Mus musculus: one gene and its partner. The protein of the gene in region 2 interacts with the protein of the main gene of each other region in a biochemical or structural test. Links are inferred from orthologs where the notes say so. Each region holds a gene or a part of one and is shown on either strand. Other genes may lie near its edges. The genes, in order: Fbln1 and Nid1.

What was found.
Region 1: the proteins of Nid1 (region 2) and Fbln1 form a complex in vitro, tested with the Homo sapiens proteins (3 studies listed by BioGRID). The link is inferred for Mus musculus from reciprocal best matches to the Homo sapiens genes NID1 and FBLN1.

Annotation. Positions count from the first base shown.
Region 1 is NC_000081.6:85,279,365-85,290,371, reverse strand, and holds the end of Fbln1 (fibulin-1 isoform 1 precursor), read right to left. Parts: intron 5,333-11,007; coding exon 5,193-5,332; 3' UTR 4,078-5,192; downstream 1-4,077. UniProt on the Homo sapiens protein: Incorporated into fibronectin-containing matrix fibers. May play a role in cell adhesion and migration along protein fibers within the extracellular matrix (ECM).
Region 2 is NC_000079.6:13,431,885-13,442,991, reverse strand, and holds the start of Nid1 (nidogen-1 precursor), read right to left. Parts: upstream 5,391-11,107; 5' UTR 5,291-5,390; coding exon 5,066-5,290; intron 1-5,065. UniProt on the Homo sapiens protein: Sulfated glycoprotein widely distributed in basement membranes and tightly associated with laminin. Also binds to collagen IV and perlecan. It probably has a role in cell-extracellular matrix interactions.

The DNA of each region.
Region 1 (11,007 bases), on a different chromosome or scaffold from region 2:
AGCAGAGCTGTCCCCTGGAGGTCTCATGAACACGCCAAGGGCTCCAAACACACAGGCATGCCCATGATGGGGTCTGCACAGAGGCTGCTTGGCATCTTTCCAGGGCTTGAAAGCCTGGGCCCCCATTCCCTCTAACCTCCTCCCCTGGGTGAATTACCTGCACACAATTAATTATGCAATTATCTAGATGAGGCTGTGAAGAGCAACGATCAAATCGTCAAGATGGGCTGTGGGATAAGACGCTCCTACTTTGCCAAGTGGAAAACAGTCCTCCCTCACTTCTGAGATCCAGTAGCTGCCACAGCGAGGGCCACACTGTGGCCTTGGGGTGAACCTGGCTCAACATGTCCTTGACGGGATCCAAAGCCCAACCTGCTACCCCAGAGCACTGTCGCATAACCATCATTGACCAGTGGCTCCGCTTCTCCCCAGCAGCCTGTTCTTATGTCATGGAGAGGTTACCATCTGGAAAGTTGCTTGTCTGGGAACAGGGGTGGTTCTGAGTTTGGGTTCCAAGATCAGGGCCTGAGAGAATAGATGCATTGTCCAACTGAGCAACTGAGCTGCTGAGGACTGTCTGCCTTTCGAAGCGTAGATGGGTGAGGTGCACATAGACCTGAAAGTCAGTACTTGGAATCTGGTGTGGGGAAGGCTGCATCTTTTTTTTTTTTTAATGTTTGTTTGTTTTTAAATGCACTATTTTCTGAAAAAGGCTTAAAGTTATGAAAGAGGAGAGGAGAAGGAAGGTGGGTTTGTTATATCTCAGAAAGAGTTTCTAACAAGATACCTGGGAGTGGATTATCTGAATTGTGAGCCAGCTGTGAGCCCCGGGGAGCTGGAGAGATGGCCCAGCAGTTAAGAATACTGGCTGCTCCTGCGGAGTTCCTTAGATTAGTTTCCAGCTTGGGCTGCTCATAACTACCTGTGACTCCAGCTCCAGGGGAATCCAACACCCTTTTCTGACCTCCTTGGACACCTACACACATGTGGAATACACAGATACCTTCACATATACAGATGAGCAAATATAAAGTAAATAAAATAAGCCTCCCTGGAAACTGTCCTTCCTCGGCGCCCACTGCTGCTGCAGCTTACTGGCATCAGCTGTCACAGTGACGGGCTGTCCTTCGCAGTGGCAAGAGTCTAAGCATTTCCTCCGCCTCCTGTCTATTTGCAGAGCTTTGGTGCTTCTCATTCAGAGAAGTTCTTCTGTGGGAGGAACCTCAAGAGGACAAGAATAAGTCCCCACTGTGGTGCTTCCTGCCCAGCAGGGGCAGACACATAGGCGAATGCTTATAGGACAGTTATAAATCACCTCTTCACTGCCTGTCCAGACTCTAATAAACTGTGTCAACTCATGGAATGAAAACCGCTCCCTCTCATGCATCTACAGCGCCAGTGCTGCTGACTGGGGTCTTTTTTGTGCAGCAGTTTCTCCACCCTCCCCAACCCCACCCCATCCCCCTGCCCAGCTAAGCCTCAACCCCATCACGGAGTTCACATCATGGAGTCCACATGATGCTGTGAAACCTAGGGTCATGTGTCTCAGAGCTTCTGAGTGATTGACCCTGAACCCAAACATGCAAACTTCAAGACTGATAAACTGTTAGGCCAGGCTATCTCATTCTATCCTATCCTATAGACCAGGCTCTCTCATTCTATCCCATCCTATCACCATATATTTAAAGTACAGCCAGACCCCTAATGCCTCAAGAGCAGAGTCTAGGTGCTAGGTGCTAGGTGCTCTGCCAGTCTTTGTAAAATCCTTCTAACCTTGCTGTGTCATTGCAAGAATTTTCTCTCTATGGACCACTAAGAAGGCAACTGGACCTTCTCCTTGTAGGGTCCTAGTGACAAACCAAAGTTCCCCCCTAGGAACTAATAAATTAGTGAGTTTCTTAGGCTTATGTACAGAACGTGGGAGAAGTGTCACAGGCAGGAGTGCTGGTGACCCTCCCTCGAGCAGCCACACTGGAAAGTTTGCATCCAGCATGGACGATGGCTCCCACACAGCTGCAGAGATGGAGAACCTTATTCCCCTAGTCCTCCCCAGACTATATACTGCACCCACTCCCCAAGACCCCAGGGCTACATTCAATTAGAGCAGAAGAGAAAGACTGCATATAAGTGATTGGGAGGAGGGGCTGGGTGCTCAGGTGAGGCTCCGGTGGCCCTCAGAGCCTTCTCCTGGGAGGGAATGGCCAATACTCAACAAGGTCAGCTGTGATGATCTTGTACAAACAGGCACCACGGAATCCATGAAGACAGCAGCTGTTTGGCTCTGAGGACCGGTGCTAGGCAACAAGCATATTTGAAATTTTGAATAAAATAGGTAAAAGGCAAAGAACAAACAGCTGACTTCAGGTGGCTATTTGCTAGAGCAGACCCAAGAACCTTGTTGGGACTTGGGAAGGCAGGCTTTCCATCTTTGGTTCTGAAGGCTGGGTGGGGGTGGGGGTGGAGGGCCTCTGCTGCTCTTTCTTGGTTCTCATATATTTATCAACACTGATCTCTTAAAAACATAGGCTGGCCTGAGCATCTCTCTGCTTCAAGCCACAGAACTCCTGAGTGCAGTTGGATAGGTCTCCTTCTGTTGGGATTTGTGCATTAATGTTTCTTGGAGCTCCCAGGTTGGAGGCTTGGTTCCCCAGTGCAGTGAAGCTCAGTGGTCAGTGAGGCCACAGGGAGGTGACTGGATCCTGGGGATTGTGGCTTTGTCAAAAGATTCATCCGCTGAAGGATTCATAACTTAACAGTGTCTAGGAAGGTGGTGGGAACTTCAGGAGCGGGTTCCAGTTGGAGGAAGTAGAGCATGGGGACATGTTTTTGAGGGGGAATCTCTTGTTCCTGGCCCCTCCCATCTTCCTTTATTTACTTCCTGGCTCCCCACTCTACCTTGCCACAGACCTAGAAGCAATAGGCCTTAGGTGGAAACTTCTGTGTGAGCCAAGATAAATCTTCCGACTGATTTCCTCACGTGCTTTGTAACAGCAGCTAAGTCAGCTTCCTTCAAAGCCAATAGCTTGCTGTTAGCATAGGGCAGTGTGATACCTTTCTGGGACCATCTGTGAGAAGCTCATTCTATGAGATCAGCAAGTGACTGGCGTCTCTTTGCTGACCCTTTATTAAATGCTTTCTGTTCAGGGAAGCCCTTCAAGCATTTAGGGAGGCAGTTAAGAAGGGCACACCATTGTTGGGAGACTCTGACAATTTCTTTTGTAAGAATCATGGGTACTCATGGGACCACGGCACATGGTTGGGGCTGAGTGCAACTGACACACCTGTCCATCTGTCTCTGCTGGGTGTCTATGTATAAAGAAGGAGCCTGATACGGGGTCCTGTCATGCCCGTGACTGATGCTGAGTGATGTTTGCTAAGTGATATATTCAGCTGAACTGGATGGGGTATCAAGAGTTCAGGACCAAACAGCCAGAATTTGAACCCATCTATGTTTCTAAAAGGCTGTGTGAGCTCGGGCGATAAGAGTTTCCCTCTGAGCCCTTTGTGGTTCTCTTGAGATTGGGCCTTATCACACCCAGTAAACAAAGTACCCTGTGACAAGCATACGACTCAGTCATCGCATCTTTTGGGGATACCATGGGCAGCAGCCTCCTTTCCTTGTGCTGTTAGCTTTGAGTCGTTATCCTCTACCACCCTCCACCCCAGGAAGCTTTAGTGAGGCCGCAGATGACCCTGAGGTATAAGACTTGGAGCAAATCAGAAATCCCACGGCTCAGAGAGGTGTCTGACAGGACCAGACATCGGTCAGCTTCTTAGAGGGCAGGTATGTGCTCAGACGTGTCTCCCCGAAAGTTAAATGATAAAAACGTCATCTCCAGATCCATGTATTTATTGATGGATTTTGGAAGTAGGGGCTTTGGAGGAGGGTACTGGGATTAGAGGAGGTCGTCAAGAGCTTTGTTAGAAGGGAGACCTGAAGTAGTATTCCTGCTCATCAGATGACATCCTGCCTCGTCATGGGGCAGAGAGGACCACACCAGATGTCAAGCCAGCACCTGGACTTCCCAACCTCCAAGAAAAGAAAATATACATATATGTGTATGTATATGGATATATGCTAAGTAAACATTTATTCTTTATAAATAGCCCAGCTTTTAGTATTTTGTCATAGCAACAAGACAATATGACAACAACGATTCCAGACTGGGAAGCTTTTGCAACCCCTTAGCTGGAGCTATGGGGGCAGGGGAGACTTTGAAATTGGCTTTAGGAGAGATTTGCAGTCCTCCAGCTCATGGAAGACCTCTGAGCTAGCAGAAGCCCCATCCGGAGAGTGTATAGTAGGTTGTCAGGAAGATCACAAAAGCCTGTTTACTCTTGTGAGGAAAGGCAGCTTCAGGGTACAAAGAAAGCCAGCCACCTCTATGGACACACTGAAACACACCAGACACTTCTACAGACACACAGGGACACACCAGCCATCTCTACAGACACATGGGGACACACCAGCCACCCCCATAGACACACTGGGACATACTGGCCACCCTCACAAACAGATAGGGATGCACCAGCCACCCCCATGGACACACTGGGAGACACCAGCCACCCCAGACACACTGGGACATCCCAGCCTTCCCCACAGCCATACCAGGCCACACACAAACCTTGCAGCTCACATCTTTACCAAGGGGCCCTCCTTTGAACAAAATTGCAATCCACTTTCCAAGTGCCCCCGAGGCATGCTTGTCAGCTGCTTCTGGGGAGAATTTATTGTACATTTATTTATGTGCCACTCTACAGCAGCCATCAACTTGAAACACAAAGAGCCCCGTTGGTTAAAAAAAAAAAAAAAAAAGTACCAAAATGCCAATCCTCATGCAGACTCAGTGAGAACTACCTCGGCTTTTGGGTGGAGTGCTGCTTTGAAAACTCCTTCAATTGGTCCTTAGCAATGCCTAGCTCACAGGTAGAGAAAGGGAACAAAATTCCGATTTGGCCTTTGCATTTAAAAAAAAAAGCAAGGATTCAACCACCCAGCTGAGCCATGTTTAAACGCCACAGTACACCAGCTGGACTTAAGTGATGCGGCTCAGCCTAATGCACGTGGCCATACAAACCAATATGAAACATCAAGGGAGGCCCGAGGGGTAGAGACAGGCACCTGGCTGTCACTGGCAGCAAGGGCGTAGCCAGGGGGCGGGGTACACTCCTGGCTGAGCCACAACCTGCCCTCAGAACCAGTACTCGGAGACGAAGATGTGTACATTGACGACGTTCCGGTGGGAAACTACGCCTCCCAACACGTAGTTCATCTCCAGCTTCAGGACAGCGTAAAACGGGCCCACGATGGGCCGCACTTGGCGCACGACACCTGGGGAGAGAGCAGAAGGCATGCTGTTGGGTGTTGGCAGGCACGGGGCAACATGGGTAGCTGGGAAAGGGGTCCTTGGGAATGTCAAGGCTACAGTGGTAGCCCGAGGCAGACGCTTTAATCACCAAGGTAACCATCCCCTTCCACCTGGTCACTCTGGGTTGCTTCCAGTCACTAGGGATAAGGTGACAGTGAGCTCACTACATCCCTTCTGTCACACACAGCTTGGAAGGGGAGGGAAGCAGCCAGTGTAGCTTTGGGGATTGGCAGGTCTGGGACAAGGCCAGCTGCGGTCCTTGTGGGGAGCTTGGGTTTCCTCTTCTACTACCATTTGTCTAACAAGGGCTCAAAGGCCCTAGAAAAGGCCTGAAATAAAATTGAGCCTTCTCTCCTTCCATCCTTCCTTCTTAGATCCCTGACGGGGACCCTAGGGAGAAAAAAAGCAATGGTTTATTCCTGGGACATTTGAAGATTACAAGGGTAGGTCCCCCTCTCCAGGAGTAGCAGCCCCAAGTCCCTTCAAGTCGGGTCCTTGGACATCCTGCAACATAGAATCCAGATACCCGTGCATGCCATCTGTCAACACATCACCCACAGACTTCTCCCTAAGCGAACCTGTTTTTAACTTGGGAAGGGGACATTACAGACCTCCACAGGCAGTCAGCACCTCACTCTCATCCCCACGGCAGCCACAGCATTGCAACCATGTCCCTCCAAAGGCCTATATGCAAATATGGCTTCTGAAAGGCTTGTCACCCTTTGCTTACCGCTGGGCCCCTCCCCGGGCTAGGTCAGCCTGCCAGGTTGGGTGGGGTCACAATGCTGGCTGGGCCTGTAATATTCATAAAGTTCCTTTGAATCCATGCATACTTTTTCTCCCTGTAGGCTCCAGGCCCACAGGGTGTCTGCCAGCCACTGGGACATTAGCCATGGGAGAGCAAGGGTGTTCACACCATTTGGCCCATGGCTAAAAAGCTGCTGCTCAAAGGGACCCTGAGAGGCCAATGAGCCTGTGATCTGCTACAGGACAGTGGTATGATGAATGTCTTCAAGCTCTGATCGGATCCTGCTTTGTTCCTATTAAGCAGTATTTCAATATAATTTCATGGGGACTGGAGAGATGGCTCAGTGGTTAAGAGGGATCCATGTTCGATTCCTAGCACCTACACTGAATGGCTCACAACACTATATAACTCTAGCTCCAGGGGGTACAAAACCTCTTCTGAACTCTCATGCATATATACAAAGAAACTTAATTTCATATATATATACACATACATATTTATATGTATATATATGTATATATATACACACACATATGTGTATGTATATACACATACATATGTATGTATGTATACTGATATTTTATATAACATATATTTCATTGATCCATATATATTCATATATATATATATATATATATATATATATACACATACACATATACTGTTGATTGTATACAATGATATATAAGATATCAACATATAACATAGACATCATAAAATCTTATCTCTTTGTGGGAGTAGGTTTCAATCAGGGTCTCATGCAACCCAGGCTGGCTTTAAACAAATTATGTAATAGATCATGACCTAAAACTTTTGATCCTCTGGACCTCATTTTTGGAGGATGATAGGCATGTATTACCATGCCCAACTTGAATAAAATTTTAAATGATAAGGGTCATATTATAGGTACCTATTGATATAATATTAACATGTTGATCATACTGTCACACCTACAGGTTGACACGTATGTCAATATATCTCATTTAAGTGACCATTCCTACATACTCATGGGACCCCTCACAGGGTCCACAGTTCACACACGACTGGGCATGTAGTAGACGCCTGACACTGAAATCCGTAAGAAAGGAGAGGGGCCTGGTGAGATGGCTCAGTGAGCAAGGCAACTGGCACACTAACCTGATAGCCTGAGTGTAGTACCTGGCACCCACGGCAGAAGGTGTGAATGGACTCCTGAAAGCTGTCTTCTGTGCATCGTGTGTGTGTGTGTGTGTGTGTGTACACTAAATAAAATAAGGTTTAAAAAAATGTAGAGAATGCGATGGTAGTTGTGGAGGGTGGGTCTGGGTCAGAAAGGTGATCGAGAACTCACGTGTGGGGCACGGAGATTGAGCGTGACCAACCGGAGTCAGAGGAGTTACTTAACTTCTCTGAGCCTCAATTTCCTTTCCTGTGGACAGACATAAAACCCAGCAATCTTCATAATCAGAAACCAAACAAACTGGGGGCCCAGGCCTGCAATCTTAGCCACTTGAGATGTAGGAGCAGGAGGATTGTGTGTTCAAGGCCTTTCTGGGCTACAGTGTGAGTTCAAAGCCAACTTGGGAGCTTAGTGAGATCCTGTCTCAAAATAAAGTTTCCAGAAAAATGTAGCTCAGTGACAGAGCACTTCCCAGCAAGTGTGAAGGCCCTGGATTTAGTCCCCAGCAACACACACACACACACACACACACACACACACACACACATATTCAGAAATGACTGCTGGATATAAAACATGCAATCTTTCAGTGTGATCTCTGTGCTCCAATGGCTAGGAAATGTTTGCATCTAAACCCATCATCTCAGGGAATTTATGAAGGTTCATTTCTGTCATATCTGAAGACCAGAATGCCATACTGTTGTCTGGTTTGTAAAAGTCACGTGGTGTGACAAAGCAACAAAGCAAGGGAAGGACTACAGGGCCTCCAGGTGCCAGGCCTCATCATAGACATGAGTCACTTTCAGAGCCTACAGTGGCTCAGGATCTTTGCGCACAGCAAGAAAGATGACTAAGGACAGCTCGAAATACTGCCTGGGTTAAGCAAGAGCTTGTGTGGGTGCAGGCTCAAGGAATGTGTCCCTTCCAGCTCGCCCAGAATCTTCTGTCTTCTGCCCCTTTGACCTGAAGTCTGTGTGGTACCTGCAGCTAGCCACAGCTTCACTCAGCTCAGAGCTATCTTTCTCACACTGGACCCCTCGGAGGGCCCAGCTCCCAATCCTTCCCAGCCAGGCAAACTTTCTTGCACCTGTGTTTTCAGAGAATAGGTTTCCTCTGTCTCACTAGTTCAAGTCTGGCTTTCACATTCTTGCCCTCACCTTGACTGAAACCAGGCTGCAGTGTTTCATGAAAGATGACATAAAACCCAGCTGGTCCCCAGTGCCTGGCACTCAACAAATATCAAATGGATAGATAGTTCTGGTGCCAACTTTTTATTCATAGCTTCCTATCACCTGCCATCTTCTCACCCACCTATCATCCATCTATCCATCCATCTATCCATCCATCCATCCACTCATCTATCATCCATCCATTGATCCATCCATCCATCCATCCATTCGACATCCATCTACCCATCCATCCACCATCCATCCATCATCCCACTGACCAACTCATCCATTTATTTAACCCATCTATCTCATTTGTTCTTCCAGCCATCCTTCCATCTACCCATCTGTCCCTCTATCCAACAGAGGTCAATCTACACAGGGAGATTTGGGGAAGTTTCTATAGAGGAACAGATATTTAAATAGGGTTGTGAAGAGTAAGTTGGGGCCCAGAGAGCAGGAAGGACATGTGTTCTCAACTGTAATGCTCTACCTGCCCAGTTCATAGGACGTTCCAGCTAGCCTCCCATTCAGGGCAGACTGCATTGTGCTCATGCCTGCTCCACCCTCCCCAGGGTTTGGGCAAGCACCTGGCTGGAGTTCAGCCATGATTACTGAAGGAGATGGAGATTCGAAGGAAAAGAAAGGAAGTCAGTTCTTGAGGCCCCACTAAGAATGCATCACTGTCTGGCCTCACAGGTGGCATTTCATTCTGTAAGATCTGTTTTAAACTCCTGTAAATACTCCTCGAGAGCAGAGAACCCCTTCCTCCATGGGGCCCACAGGCTAGTGTGGGCTATGGCACAAACTGGGAGTCATGAGGCCCATTCTGGGAGTCAGAAATTGGCTGGAGGCACTCCATGGCTTCTCCCTCCTGTTCTCCTGAACTCAGGTCCTCCTGTCCCATGTTCCCATCACCTTCCTGTGAGGAGCACTGTGACTACCTTCTTCAACATTGTACTTCTCATTCCACACGGTTATATTCCGTGTTTGCCCATAGCATTTGCCTTCTTAGAGCGCCCCACGAAGGAGGGTAGGCTTTCCCATTGAAGCGCTGTCCTATGGTGCACAGTGAGAGAGCCTGGGGCAGCTAGCCCTAAATGGAAGTCTTTATCCAACCCGTCTACTTCAAGGCTCAAGGACCTATACAGAAGAGGAGGCAGAGAGAATGTAAGAGCCAGAGGTCATTATGACTCTAGGGAAGACAGAGTCTTCCAGACAGAACAGGGCTGATGCACAGATATATGAACACACAGAGATTGACCGCACAGATGCAAAGCAGACAAAACCCCAGCACTGAGACCGGGAGTGGACATGAAGTTCCACCCCTAGTCAACCTATTTGCAACTGATCCCTGATGGGAGGGAAAGTCTGTTTTCTCCAATAAAAGGCTACTGGGTAGATCAACCCCCATTCCAGGGCAGGCCACATGCTTAGGAGCAGCTGACAAGCACAGAACGGACTCCATGGTTTCTTCTCTGTGTGTTTTGTTGTAATGGTTTGATGATATTTTTTTGAGAGAGAGAGAGAGGGAGACAGAAAGAACATGAAGTTGGGTGGGTAGGGAGGTGGGAAGAATCTGGAAAGAGCTGGGGAAGAGAAAATTTTAGAAACAAAATATATTGTACAAAATTTAACAAGAGCTACAGAAGGCTTTGGCTAAGGGCATATTTCTTTGACTGACACGTGTAGCAGCAAGCAGCCCATTTCCATCTAGCCTGACATGCCCGTCCCATCTGGAGGGGTGTTCCAACCTTTTCAAAGGCTCTGGCAAAAGGGAAAGAGGACTTGGACAGATGGTTCGTTGGGTACAGTGCTTGCCTTGCAATCAGGACCTCAGTTAGGAGCCTCAGCATTCACGTAAGGGTCCACGTGTGGTGATGTTGTGCACTGTAATCCTGGTGAAGGCAGATGCAGGGCAGACAGGTGGATCCCTGGAGCTCAATGGCCAGCTAGCCTAACCTACTCAGCAACATCCCAGGCCAATGTTGAACAAAAGGTAGACGGTGCCTAAGGACCAACAGTCAAGATTATCCTCTGACATCCTCACATACACTGTGCATGCATGCACCTATACACCACACATGTATATACCTGTATTCACATGTGTAACCACACATACATGACCATGCGTGCATGCCCTCGAGCACGCACACACACACACACACACACACACACACACACACACAGGCATAGTGCTACCGAATTCAACAGATTTAACCTTCTAAATCCTCATCTTAGGCATTTCTGCTCCAGGTCCCAGGCGCTTCTGGTATTCCTCCTCAGCGCGTCTGTACCTCTTAGAGATATAATTAAGCCTGTTTTTTCCCCCATTGAAAAATGTAGTCCCCTGGGGCAGCTCACCTTCATGTCTCTGCTCTGCTGTGTAACCTGAAGCTGATGTTCTGGGATTTTTGATCCTGAATACAAAGTCCACAGGTCCAGGAGGGGATGTCTGTCTCCTGGGACTGGTGCTTCTCACACTCACCCCCGAGCCCATCCAACCTCCTTCCATGTAATGTATTCAGTTGCCTATCAACTGCGTGAAACAACATAAAATCGGCT
Region 2 (11,107 bases):
AGTATTGAAAATCCCAAATAAAATTAGTCTGGGGACAATTTTTCTCAAACTTCTCCATTCCATTAATCTGCTACTTTATCAGAATAATGATTTGGCTTCAATTAGAAGTTGGTCACCATCCAAAGACTGCCCCACCTGGGGATCCATCCCATAAACAACCATCAAACCCAGACACTATTGTGGATGCCAACAGGAGCTTGCTGACAGGAGCCTGATATAGCTGTCTCCTGAGAGGCTCTGCCAGTGCCTGACTAATACAGAAATGGATGCTCACAGCCATCCATTGGCCTAAGCACAGGGTCCCCAATGAAGGAGCCAGAGAAAGGACCCAAGGAGCTGAAGGGGTTTGCAGCCTCCTAGGAGGAACAACAATATGAACTAGCCAGTACTCCCAGAGCTCCCCGGGACTAAACCACCAACCAAAGAAAACATATGGTGGGAGTCATGGCTCTAGCTGCATATGTAGCAGAGGATGGCTTAGTTGGTCATCAATGGGAGGAGAGGCCCTTGGTCCTGTGAAGGTTCTATGCCCCGGTATAGGGGAATGCCAGGGCCAGGAAGCAGGAGTGGGTGGGTTGGGGAGCAGGGGAAGAGGGGAGAGGATTAGGGGGTTTTAGGAGGGGAAACCAGGAAAGGGAATAACATTTGAAATGTAAATAAAGAAAATATCCAATAAAAAAAAGAAAAATGAAAAAAAGTTGGTCACTATAATTAGTCAATTATATTTCAGTCCCTGGTGGAATTAATAACCTTGGATTCTGAGATTCAACCCCAGTCATTGCTCAACCACTGGGAAACCTGGGGGAAATGAGGAGCTCGTGCTTCTCCTCGCAGTCCCAGGCGGAAGCTGGATGCTCAAGGCTTAAGACAGGCTAAAATCGCCATCTTCCTTCCTGGGCCAGAGGCCCTGAGGGTGGAACATCCCGAGCAGCTTCAGATAGCAGTCCTGAAGGTCCTGTGAGGCAGTAAGTTAAGCAGTATTGCCCATGAACAACTAGAAGGTTGTGTGTGCTCATATGTGTTCATGCACGTGAGTATACACCTATATACTATATACGATAAATTTCTGTGTGTACATATATATGCATGTCTGTGCAGGCACATGGTCCTGTGCGTTTGGAAGCCAGATGTCTGTATCAGTTGTCTTGTTCTGTCACTTTCCTCCTTACTTTTTGAGACAGTGTCTGTCACTGAACCTTGGGTTTGCTGATTGGGCTAGAAACACGGACCAGCAAGACCCAGGAATCCTCTGGCTTTGCCTCTGCAAAGTGCTGAGATTGCAGGCTTGCTGCATGCTACTCCTGCCTTTTCTCCCCTGGGTTCTGGGGAATCAAACCCCAGTCCTCACGGTTGCAGGGCAAGCTTTTTAGCCCACAATCTTTTTGTTGCTAAAGATATTCTATTCCCAACTGTATGGAAGGTTTTTTGAATAAAATATTAAGTCATATCTAACTTGCTTATCCATCTTTATGACTCATGGGCAAGTAATTTAATCATCACTAAAATCATGTCCTAGAAATCACTCATTGCCTTACACGCCCAGTGAGGGTGGCCAGTCAACATGACAGCAAGCATACCAACGGAGACAACGTTCCAGGCAAAGGCAGGAAATGTTTTCATTCCTTGGAACAACTTTACCATAGTTTTCAAAAACTCTCACCCAGGGAGTTTAAGGTTCATGGACCAGGGCAGCAAGGCTCTGAAATTTCTAGTGCTTTAGTGCTCTGGATGGGGCTCAGCCCCTGCGTGGGATCTGGTGAATGACTGGTTTTATTGGCTGGACTCTAATGATGACCGTTCAGGACCATTCCTCTGGGGACTCACACATCATGAAGCAGGGAGGGATTCTGATGAGGACCACAGGAGGGCGCTAGTATCCAACATGGCACCTGCCTCTTCCAGAAGACATTCCCAACAATGCGTCCTTCCTGTCTTTATACTCAATGTCTTGATTTTATATATTTATGATCAGCCCTCGGGAATTTTGACTTCTGGAGCCCTTTGAACATTTCAGTTTTGAAGATTCCCCCAAGACCATAATCAACATTTAATCGTATGGAAAGGGGAAGCAAAGATCAAGTTAAATACTTAAAACACTTTAATAATGAATTTGTCACGTGTGAACAAAAACAGCATTATTTTAATGCAGGTGATTATAGTTCCAACCAAAAATACATTTGGAGAGGGCTTGAGAGATAGCACTGACTGCTCTTCCACAGGTCCTGAGTTCAATTCCCAGCAACCACATAGTGGCCTACAATCATCTGTAATGGGATCTGACGCCCTCTTCTGGTGTGTCTGAAGACAGCAACAGTGTACTCATATACATTAAATAAATTAATAAATAAATCTTTTTAAAAATACACATCATGAAGTATATGAAGAGATGAGACTTTCCTTCACGTGTGTGTCTGCAAATCAACCTGATGTCCAACTATATGGAAGGCAGATAGATGCTTCTTCGTTTGCCTGTGGGAACAGACATGTGGGTATCATGCATCCCGTAGTGAACTCCATCATACATTCCTGAGCAACTAAAGTCTAAAAGCCATTGGGGTCAGCAAGATGGCACAGCTTGTCTCACAGCCTGAAGTCTTGAGTTACCTAAATCCCATCCCTGCAGCTCATAACAACAGAAGAAAACCCATTCCTAAGGTCACCCGCCCTCTAGGCTCCACACATGTACCCATATGTACACATGCACACACATGTGCCCAGATGCATCATCATAGTCATCGTCATCATCATCACAATGCTTAGTAAAATAAGTAACGGGCTGGAGAGATGAGATGGGTCAGCAGTTAAGAACATTTAACCCAGGTTCCATTCCCAACACAGAGATAGGATCCCCAGTCCCAGCGGGGAGTCTGTTACCCTCTTCTGGCACTACACATATGTGGTGCTCAGACATACGTGCAGGCAAACTCCCATATACATAAAATACACATAAGGGGAAAAAGACAAAAGCAATAAACTTAATATTCCTTAAAATCACCTCCATCTTCTGAATTCCTTGACCCCAGAGGTCCGTGGGCCACACTTGGGAGATTGCCTCTTTGGAGCATTATCAAGGATAGCTGTTATTTTCAGAACTCTAAAATTATCTTAATTCTGTTTGCTTACTGAGAGAGTTTCTTGTACCCCAGGATATCCTCAAACTCAAACCCGAGATCCTCTTACTCCTCCCTCCTCGGTGCTGAGAGTGCACGCCTACACCACCACCTCCAGTCCATGTATGTATTTATTTACTCTTTCCCTTTGTAAACCAAGGTCTCCAGCCTTCCTTCCTCTCCCAGACTGTTAGCTTGAAGCTTGAGTGTCTGCTAGACACAGGATACTCTCCATCTGGTTTCCTTGGGGGCTTCCGGCACCAGAGTTAAATCAGGCCCTTGACCCCTAGCTCTGTCTGGCTTGTTTGGTCTGGTGCTTTGCTTGTTTGGGGAGTTTTTAAAATTAGGAGGAGTGAGGGGACACACAGGATAACTTGGATGAGTCAGGTTTTTTTCTTCCACTATGTGGGTCCTAGGGATGGGGGTATGAAATTAGGTTGTCAGGATTGACAAATAAAGTGCCTTTTACCCAGTGAGTCACCTCACAGGCTATTTCCTGGCTTTTAAAGACAAACTCCACAGTCCAGGCTGGCCTGACTCCAGAACTTCCTAGCCTTACCTCCCAAGTGTGGGATTTCAGGCAAGTACCACTATGGCCCCTACTCATATTCTCGCCTCGTGTGGAATCTGACAGACACTATTGATACACTTCAGATCACTTCTCAGATCCACCCTTTTTAATAGTTACCAAACCCATTGCTCCAGCTTCCACTACACATAGTGTGGTTTAAAAGGAAACAAGAGGGGCCAGTATATAGTGCAGTTGGTAGAGTTCTTATCTGTCATGCAGGAAGTCCTGGTTTTGATTCCTAACTCCTCCCTAACACATCCCTAACGGGGGTGGGGGTGGGGGAGTGCGGTTGCTGGGAAAGATGGAGAAGCCTCAATACTACATAAAATTGGTGTATATGCTTTAATATGTTGTGTGTGTGTTTTTTTTTTTTCCACCACGTTGTTTTCTTTGGTAAGGTGGAGGATTTCATTGTGTGTATTTCAAAGCATGCTAAAAGTCTATAGGCTTCTCCGGGCTTCCCACGGTGGGGCCAGGGCAACTAGCCAGCAAAGGGTAAGAGTTCTTTGTGGGTGTGACCCATTCTTTCTAGGCAAAGCTGACAAGCTGCACGTGGGTGTTGCCCCATGCTATCTGCCCAGGCCAGGCTGAGAGAATAGCCACTCCCCCGCCGTCTGTGTAGTCCCCCCACACACACACACTTGTGGAATGCACGCAGGCTTTATATCAAATCCACATGGTGTGCCGGAGCAGCACGAAAGGGCTTGACCAGGCTAACAGCGCTCCCAGGCCCTGCCAGCACTGGGGAGGTTCAAGGGAGCTAAAAGGTCATGAAGTCCCGCTCCTCATCTGGGGCCCCTGGGTGACACCCTCAGCCACAGGAAATTGGATCACCGGGGCGCCCTGCGTTCTCAGTCCTGACCTCTGTACTCTGAAACCAGCCCAACTAAGAGAGCAAAATCTCTGCCAAGACGTAGCCAGAACCCACGCACACAGATGCAGGGGCTGTCCACTGAAACTCTGGGGCGGAGCAGGAGGGTTCCTCTGTCCTTTCTAGCTTGCCATCGGCAGAGTCCCTAGGAGCGCTCACAGGATACAACCCAACTCTGGCCATTGAGCTGCAGGGTACTGGGACCTGTCCCAGTAGGAAGGCGAGAAGCGCACGGAATCGAGAAGGAAAACTCTACTCGAGGTCCCCAGATCCTGGCAGGGCGCGCGCATAGATGAGTGGATCCCGGAGGCAGATGCCACCCTAAACTTCGAGTGCTACTGGGGTGACAGACAAGCAATGCGATCCTCTAGATGCGCAGATTCAACGGAGAGCCCCTCACTGGGACAGCTAGCACTCGGGTCCCGGAGGGCGACGCCCAAGTTCCACATCTGTCTCTCTGGACTGGCGACCCCAGCATAGCCTGGCCTTCCTCCCCTCCCGGCCCCAACTCACATAGACCGACGTGATGTCCGTACGATCATAGAAGCTCAGTTCTCCGATCAGTTCCAGGGAGGGGGATACCACGTCGTCCCCGGCCTCCAGCTCTAGGTCCCCCTGCCCAGGGCCGAAGGGGAAGAGCTCCTGGCGATTCAGGCAGCCTCCGGGCCCCACTAGTAGCAGCAGCTGCAACAGCGCCCACGTCCACATCGCCCAACTACAGCCGCTCGCGTCCAGCATGTTTCCCAACTGTGGTCCCACAATCCCGGCGGTTTAGCAGCTCAGGCGGAGGAGGCGCAGATATAACCCTACGCCCCTCCGCAGTCCCTCCTCACCTCCCGCCTCCCGTCGTCCCCACCCCTGGAAATGGGGAGGAGAACCGAGGGGCTATGGGGGAGGGCCCGCCCACCCCGCCTGTCCCGTCTACCAATGGCAGCGAGCAGGAGGAAGAGGGCCGACACCGAGGTTCCCCCGCGCAGCAGTGGGCGTTGGTTCCCAGCATTCCGGATCCAACCCGACGGTGGGCTCCTATCCAGAAAGAAGGAACTTTGCAACAGCATTCTGCAGTTAGGCAAGTTCCTGGAGAGCGGGCAACCAGGAAACAAACACTTTGGGGCCAGGGACGGGACAGAACCCACCCTAGAAAGGAGACTGAGCGGATGCTCGAAATGCGCAAAAAGCCTGACAAATGTGTGTGCCTTTACTCATCCAATCACTAAGTGAGCATTTTTCCAGTTCCTGATTCTGGGTTCCTTAAGTTATAGGATTCCGCAGGAAACAGGAGCCCACACCTGCCAGACAAAGTCTCAAGTGTGGGACACAATTCAAAGTCAGATTTGCTTGGAGTCCAAGGAATAAAAACAGTTTGGGAATGGAGGAATTGGCCAGAGCAAACTTCTGTGTGGCGTGCTGGGAATCAAAGCGGGTTTTCTGGAAGTAATGCAGTTTCATCAGAGGCTAGAGAAAGGAGGTCCTGGGAGGTGGAAGGTGGGAGCAGGGCGGGTTCCAGGGACCCGATTATCAACTCCGTGCAGAGAAGTTGGGAGCGATGGTCCAAGCAAAGCTGAATAACAAATCCAAGAATCTGAGCTCCCCTAAAAACTCAGAGAATCCTGGACAGTCCTTTTTTTTTTTTTTTTTTTTTTTTTTTGACAAGGTTTCTCTGTATAGCCCTGGCTGTCTTGGAACTCACTCTATAGATCAGGTTGGCCTCGAATCAGAAATCCGACTGCCTCTGCCTCCCGAGTGCTGGGATTAAAGGTGTGCGCCACCACGCCCGGCAGAATAAAGATAACTTTTAAGCAATGTAATATTTCCAGTCAGCTGTTGATCATTAGTTTGGCACCTTAAGTGAAAATATAGAGAGAAACCACTGGACCAAGCCTGTTGGGGACTGGGGGTGACCCGTGAGAAGGGAAGAAGTTGAGACAGAGAAGAAATTAATAGACATTGTCATGAAAGAAAGAATGAAACCGAGAAGAAATGAAGTTAAAGTTGAATTCCACCGGAAGGCTGAAAAACTAGTGCAGGCTTTGAGAGCACCGGAAGAGGATGGGGGGGCGGGGTCCGACCCTTGACTCAGAGGGGTCAACAGGATGCCCCTGTTTCCTCCCAGCAGCTGAGAGTAAAGGTCTGGAACCTCCATTAGTTCTCCAGTATACAGAAAACTATGTGTGATGGGACTAATGGAGAACGTGAGCCTTGAACCAGCAAAATCCTGAAGAAAGAGGCAATGGAACATAGCTCCTGAGCATGAAGTTATTGATCTATGGGGGGTGCCCTTTCATTGACGCTCTTGAGTGGTCAGCAATAACAGGTACCAAGAGCTTGCTAGGCACGGAGTGTTCTGTGTTCAGTATTTCCTCTTAGGTTCTCAATAACAGGTCCTTCTGCTGGCATGGCCAACACTTTACCCAGCTGAGCTAGCTCTCAAGTTCTGGATATGCACGAACACACACACACACACACACACACACACACACACACACACACACACACACAGCATGGGAATGAAACCTAGGGCTTCATCATGCTAGGCAAACACTCTGGCCAGACCCTTGTTTTGTTTTGAGACAGGGTCTCATTACATAGTCCAGGCTGGCCTTAGCTCATGGCAGCCTACTAGCCTCAGACTCCTGGATGCTGGGATTACAAGTATGAGCCACTACATCCAGCTGGTTATTAGCATATTTGCAGTATGAAGAGTCAAACCCAAGGCTTTACACATGGCAAGCCCCTCAACCACTACATGAATTTGAAACCTTGACACTAAGTTGCATCTGTGCTGCTACATTATCCCCGGTGCTCAAGTCTTTTGTCAGATCTACTGTGCAGCTCCAATCCCTTCCATATGCCCAGGTATCCTTCCTAGCTCCCTGACAACCCCATGCCATCTGTGCACTGCCTGGCTGATGTCTAAGATCCTAGGCCTTAGCTTGCCTTGTTTCAGTTACTGAGAACTTTGTGCAGAGGCCTGGGTTCCCCTGCACAGAGTACTCATGGACCCCCTACAACACTGAGACCCAGTAGAGGCCAAGAAAAGGAGCTCACCAGCCTTTTCCCACCTGCAACCTTTCTTTTCCCCTTCAACCCCCATCCCAAGCTCATTACACATCAGGGCTGTCCCGAAGCTGTGGTCAGTGCCTGGAATGTACTTATCCCTCTCACAGATTCTCTCCCTTTTTGGTACTCAGACAGCTGCTGAAACTCCTATTGGCCAGTGGAATTTTTCTTGGTGACTGTAGGAGCAGAGCCTGCCTCCTCCTCCACCTTCCCACCCCCTACCCCCCCCCTTTACTGGCTGCACAAACGTAGCAAGAGCGCAAAGTTTCTGTATCCCTATCATTTGATTGGGATATTCACAGGGACAATTGAGGAATTGTTATGAGGGTTAGATAAGGTGATCCCGAAATTAGACAAAGTATATAATCTAGTTAACGCAAAGCCTCCATCATTATCTGAACAAGTTGTTGTCATGTTGATTAGCTCAACATCTCTGGAGAAGGTACCAGGCAGATACCATAGACATGAATACATAATCCCTTTTGTGAGAAAATGGCAATATCCTGGGGGGGGGGAAGGGCAAGATAATGGCCCAACAAATATACAGCGAGTGAGGCTAGACGCTGCTTGTGAGGTTTTGGGCTTCTCTGGAGCCTAGTGAAGCTACAGCCGAACCATGTGGTGAATTTGGGGAGCCTCATCCAGTCTCACACAGCTAGTGGAAGAGCAAGGGCTTAAGCCTTGCTTTGTTTAACCCCAAAACTGCTACACCATCTCTCCTTTCCATAGCAGACAAGGTTTCTGCCACCTAAACAGAGAACTTAGTCTCTACATGTAGATGCATTTGGTCCGGTGTTTCTAGCTAACAGCCACACTCTATGTGTGTTTATGGTTCCATACTTCATCAGCCTGTACTGTAAACTGGCTGTCACTATTTATAGCTCTGCAGTCACTTCACATTGCCCTGTCTCTGGGAGACCTAATTCTGCTGCTGAATATCTTACCAGGGACACTGCAGGCTGTGTCCCCTGTTCCTTTAGGAGTTATACTTCCAGATAGTTCTCATAATCTGCATCACAAACTGTGCTCTGAACATTTTTCAAATGTATGTAAAGTCCCGGTATGGTGGTATACGCCTGCAATTCTAGCATTTGGGAGATGGAGACAGGACGATCAGGAGTTCAAGGCCAACCTCAATTGCATAGTGTGCTCAATGCCAGCCTGGGCCAAAACAATGATACAGTTTATAATAATATGGTCTTTTTTTCTAGTTGTTTCATGTGATTTTTTTTTTCCTTTCTTTGGATCAAGGATCTATATTCTAACTCTAGAGCACTGTGTGCACATGAAAAGGGTTAACTTTTTAAGACTTCAGTAGGCCACACACCTGTAATCCCAATACTTGGGAGACAGAGACAGGGCAAGGGTTCAAGGTCATCCTTGATTACATGGAAAGGTTTGCAGCCAGCTGAGGTCACATGAAACCCACTCTCAATAAGTGAAGCAAGGGGTTTGTGCGATGGTTTATTAGGCTAAAGTGTGTGCTCTGCAAGCATGAATGTGGAGGACTCTGATCCCCAGAACCCACACAGATGTCAGGCAGGTGTGCTGGCCTCCCTGGAATTCTAACCTCTGAAGATGGAGACAGAGGTTCCCCAGAGAAGTCTGTCTAGTAAGACTTACCAGATCCATGAACTCTGGATTTGATTGAGAGACCTTGCCTTAATGAATAAGGTGAAAGACTAACTGAAGATGATTCCAATTACTAATCTCAGGCCTCCACATCAGTGTGCTGCGAGTGCACATGCACCCTTACACATGCTCCTACACTTGTAAAACATTACACACACACTACACACATACACACACACACTACACACACACATACACACACTACACACACACATACACTACACACTACACACACACATACACACACTACACACACACATACACACACTATACACACTCACTACACACACACACATACACACACTACACACATTAGAATGGAAATAAAAATGAAACTTTAATAATACTGTTTTGAATGCTGGGGTGATATTTTGTTGAGGTTGACCTCTCTGGTGCTCATGTAGTTCAGGCTGGCCTCAAACTCACAGCAACCATCCTGCCTCAGCTTTCCAAGCACTGGGATTACAGATGTGTGTCCCCACTAAAGGCATTGATGATGCTTTTAAGAATAATTTGATAACTTCACTAGCAACAAACGAACATATAATTCCATAATACACCCTTTTTTAAAAAAATGTGGGCTAGGAGTACAGCTTCATGGTAGATCATGCACTTAGTATAAACAAGGGTCTTAGTTGATCTGCAATGCTATAAACATTTCTTTTTAAAATCTAAGTTTAAAAAATGAAGATAGGCGCAGTGACCCATGCTTGTGATTCCAGCACCAGAGAGGTAGGGTCCAGGGAGGGAGGTCCTGGTGTTTGTTTTTGGCACTTTCCAGGCCAACGTAAGGTTCTATCTCAAAAAACAAGGTGGGAGCGGAGAGATAGTTCATCAGTTAAGTTTGTCTATTGTTCTTGCAGAGGCTCAAAGTTTGGTTCCCAGCAGCCACATCTGACAGCTCACAATTGTCTGTAACTCTCCAGAAGATATAGTTCTATCCATGTCTAGATGTTGCTTACAAGATCTCAGGGGACCCAAACAGTGTTCTGGCTAGCTCTGTGTCAACTTGACGCAGGCTAGAGTTATATCTGAGAGGAGGGAATCTCAGTTGAGAAAATGCCTCCATAAGATTGATCCAAGGATCAGTCAGTAGGACATTTTCTTAATTAATAATTTGATGTGGGAGCATCCAGTATATTGGGGTGGTGGCAACCCTGGGCAGTTGGTCATGGGTATCACTAGAGGGCTGAGCAAGCCATGGAGAGCAAGCCAGCGAGCAGCATTCCTCCATGGCCTCTACACCAGCTTCTGCCTCCAGATTCCTGCCCTATTTGAATTCTTTTCCTGACTGCTTTTGATGATGTACTACTCTGTGGAGTAAAATAAATTCTTTCCTCTTCTAATTGCTTTTGGTCATGGTGTTTCATCCATCAATAGAACCCTAATGAAGATAGTTGGATCACCAAAAGTCCCATCATAGCATGTGACAACTTATCAATGGAGTGCTAACCCTCAGCCAACCTTCTACTTCTTATATAGCTTAGCACCACTCCCTCTTAGCCCACAAGCAGCTGGAACTGAAACAGGAGAGAGCAGTTCCTGCAGGCCAGGTGAGAGTTTTTGACATATTTCCCCCTTCTGAGATGTAAAATTAACAGTCCTATTACCACCACTATGGGCAGAACTATTTGTTGCCATGACTACAGAGTCACGGTAGTCTGCGGGTCGCCACAACCATCTCAGCTCTAAAACGGTCAGGAGTTACATGACCCTGTGAGGCCTAGAAGACCTAGTGAGTTCAGAGCTCTATACAAGCCAGTGTGTGCAGTTGGTAGCCTCGGGCTTTAATGTGTCAGATGCTAGAGTCCCAAAGCAGGTGTTGAGCTGCTGTCCCTGCCCTCACCTCCAGGTGAGGACCAG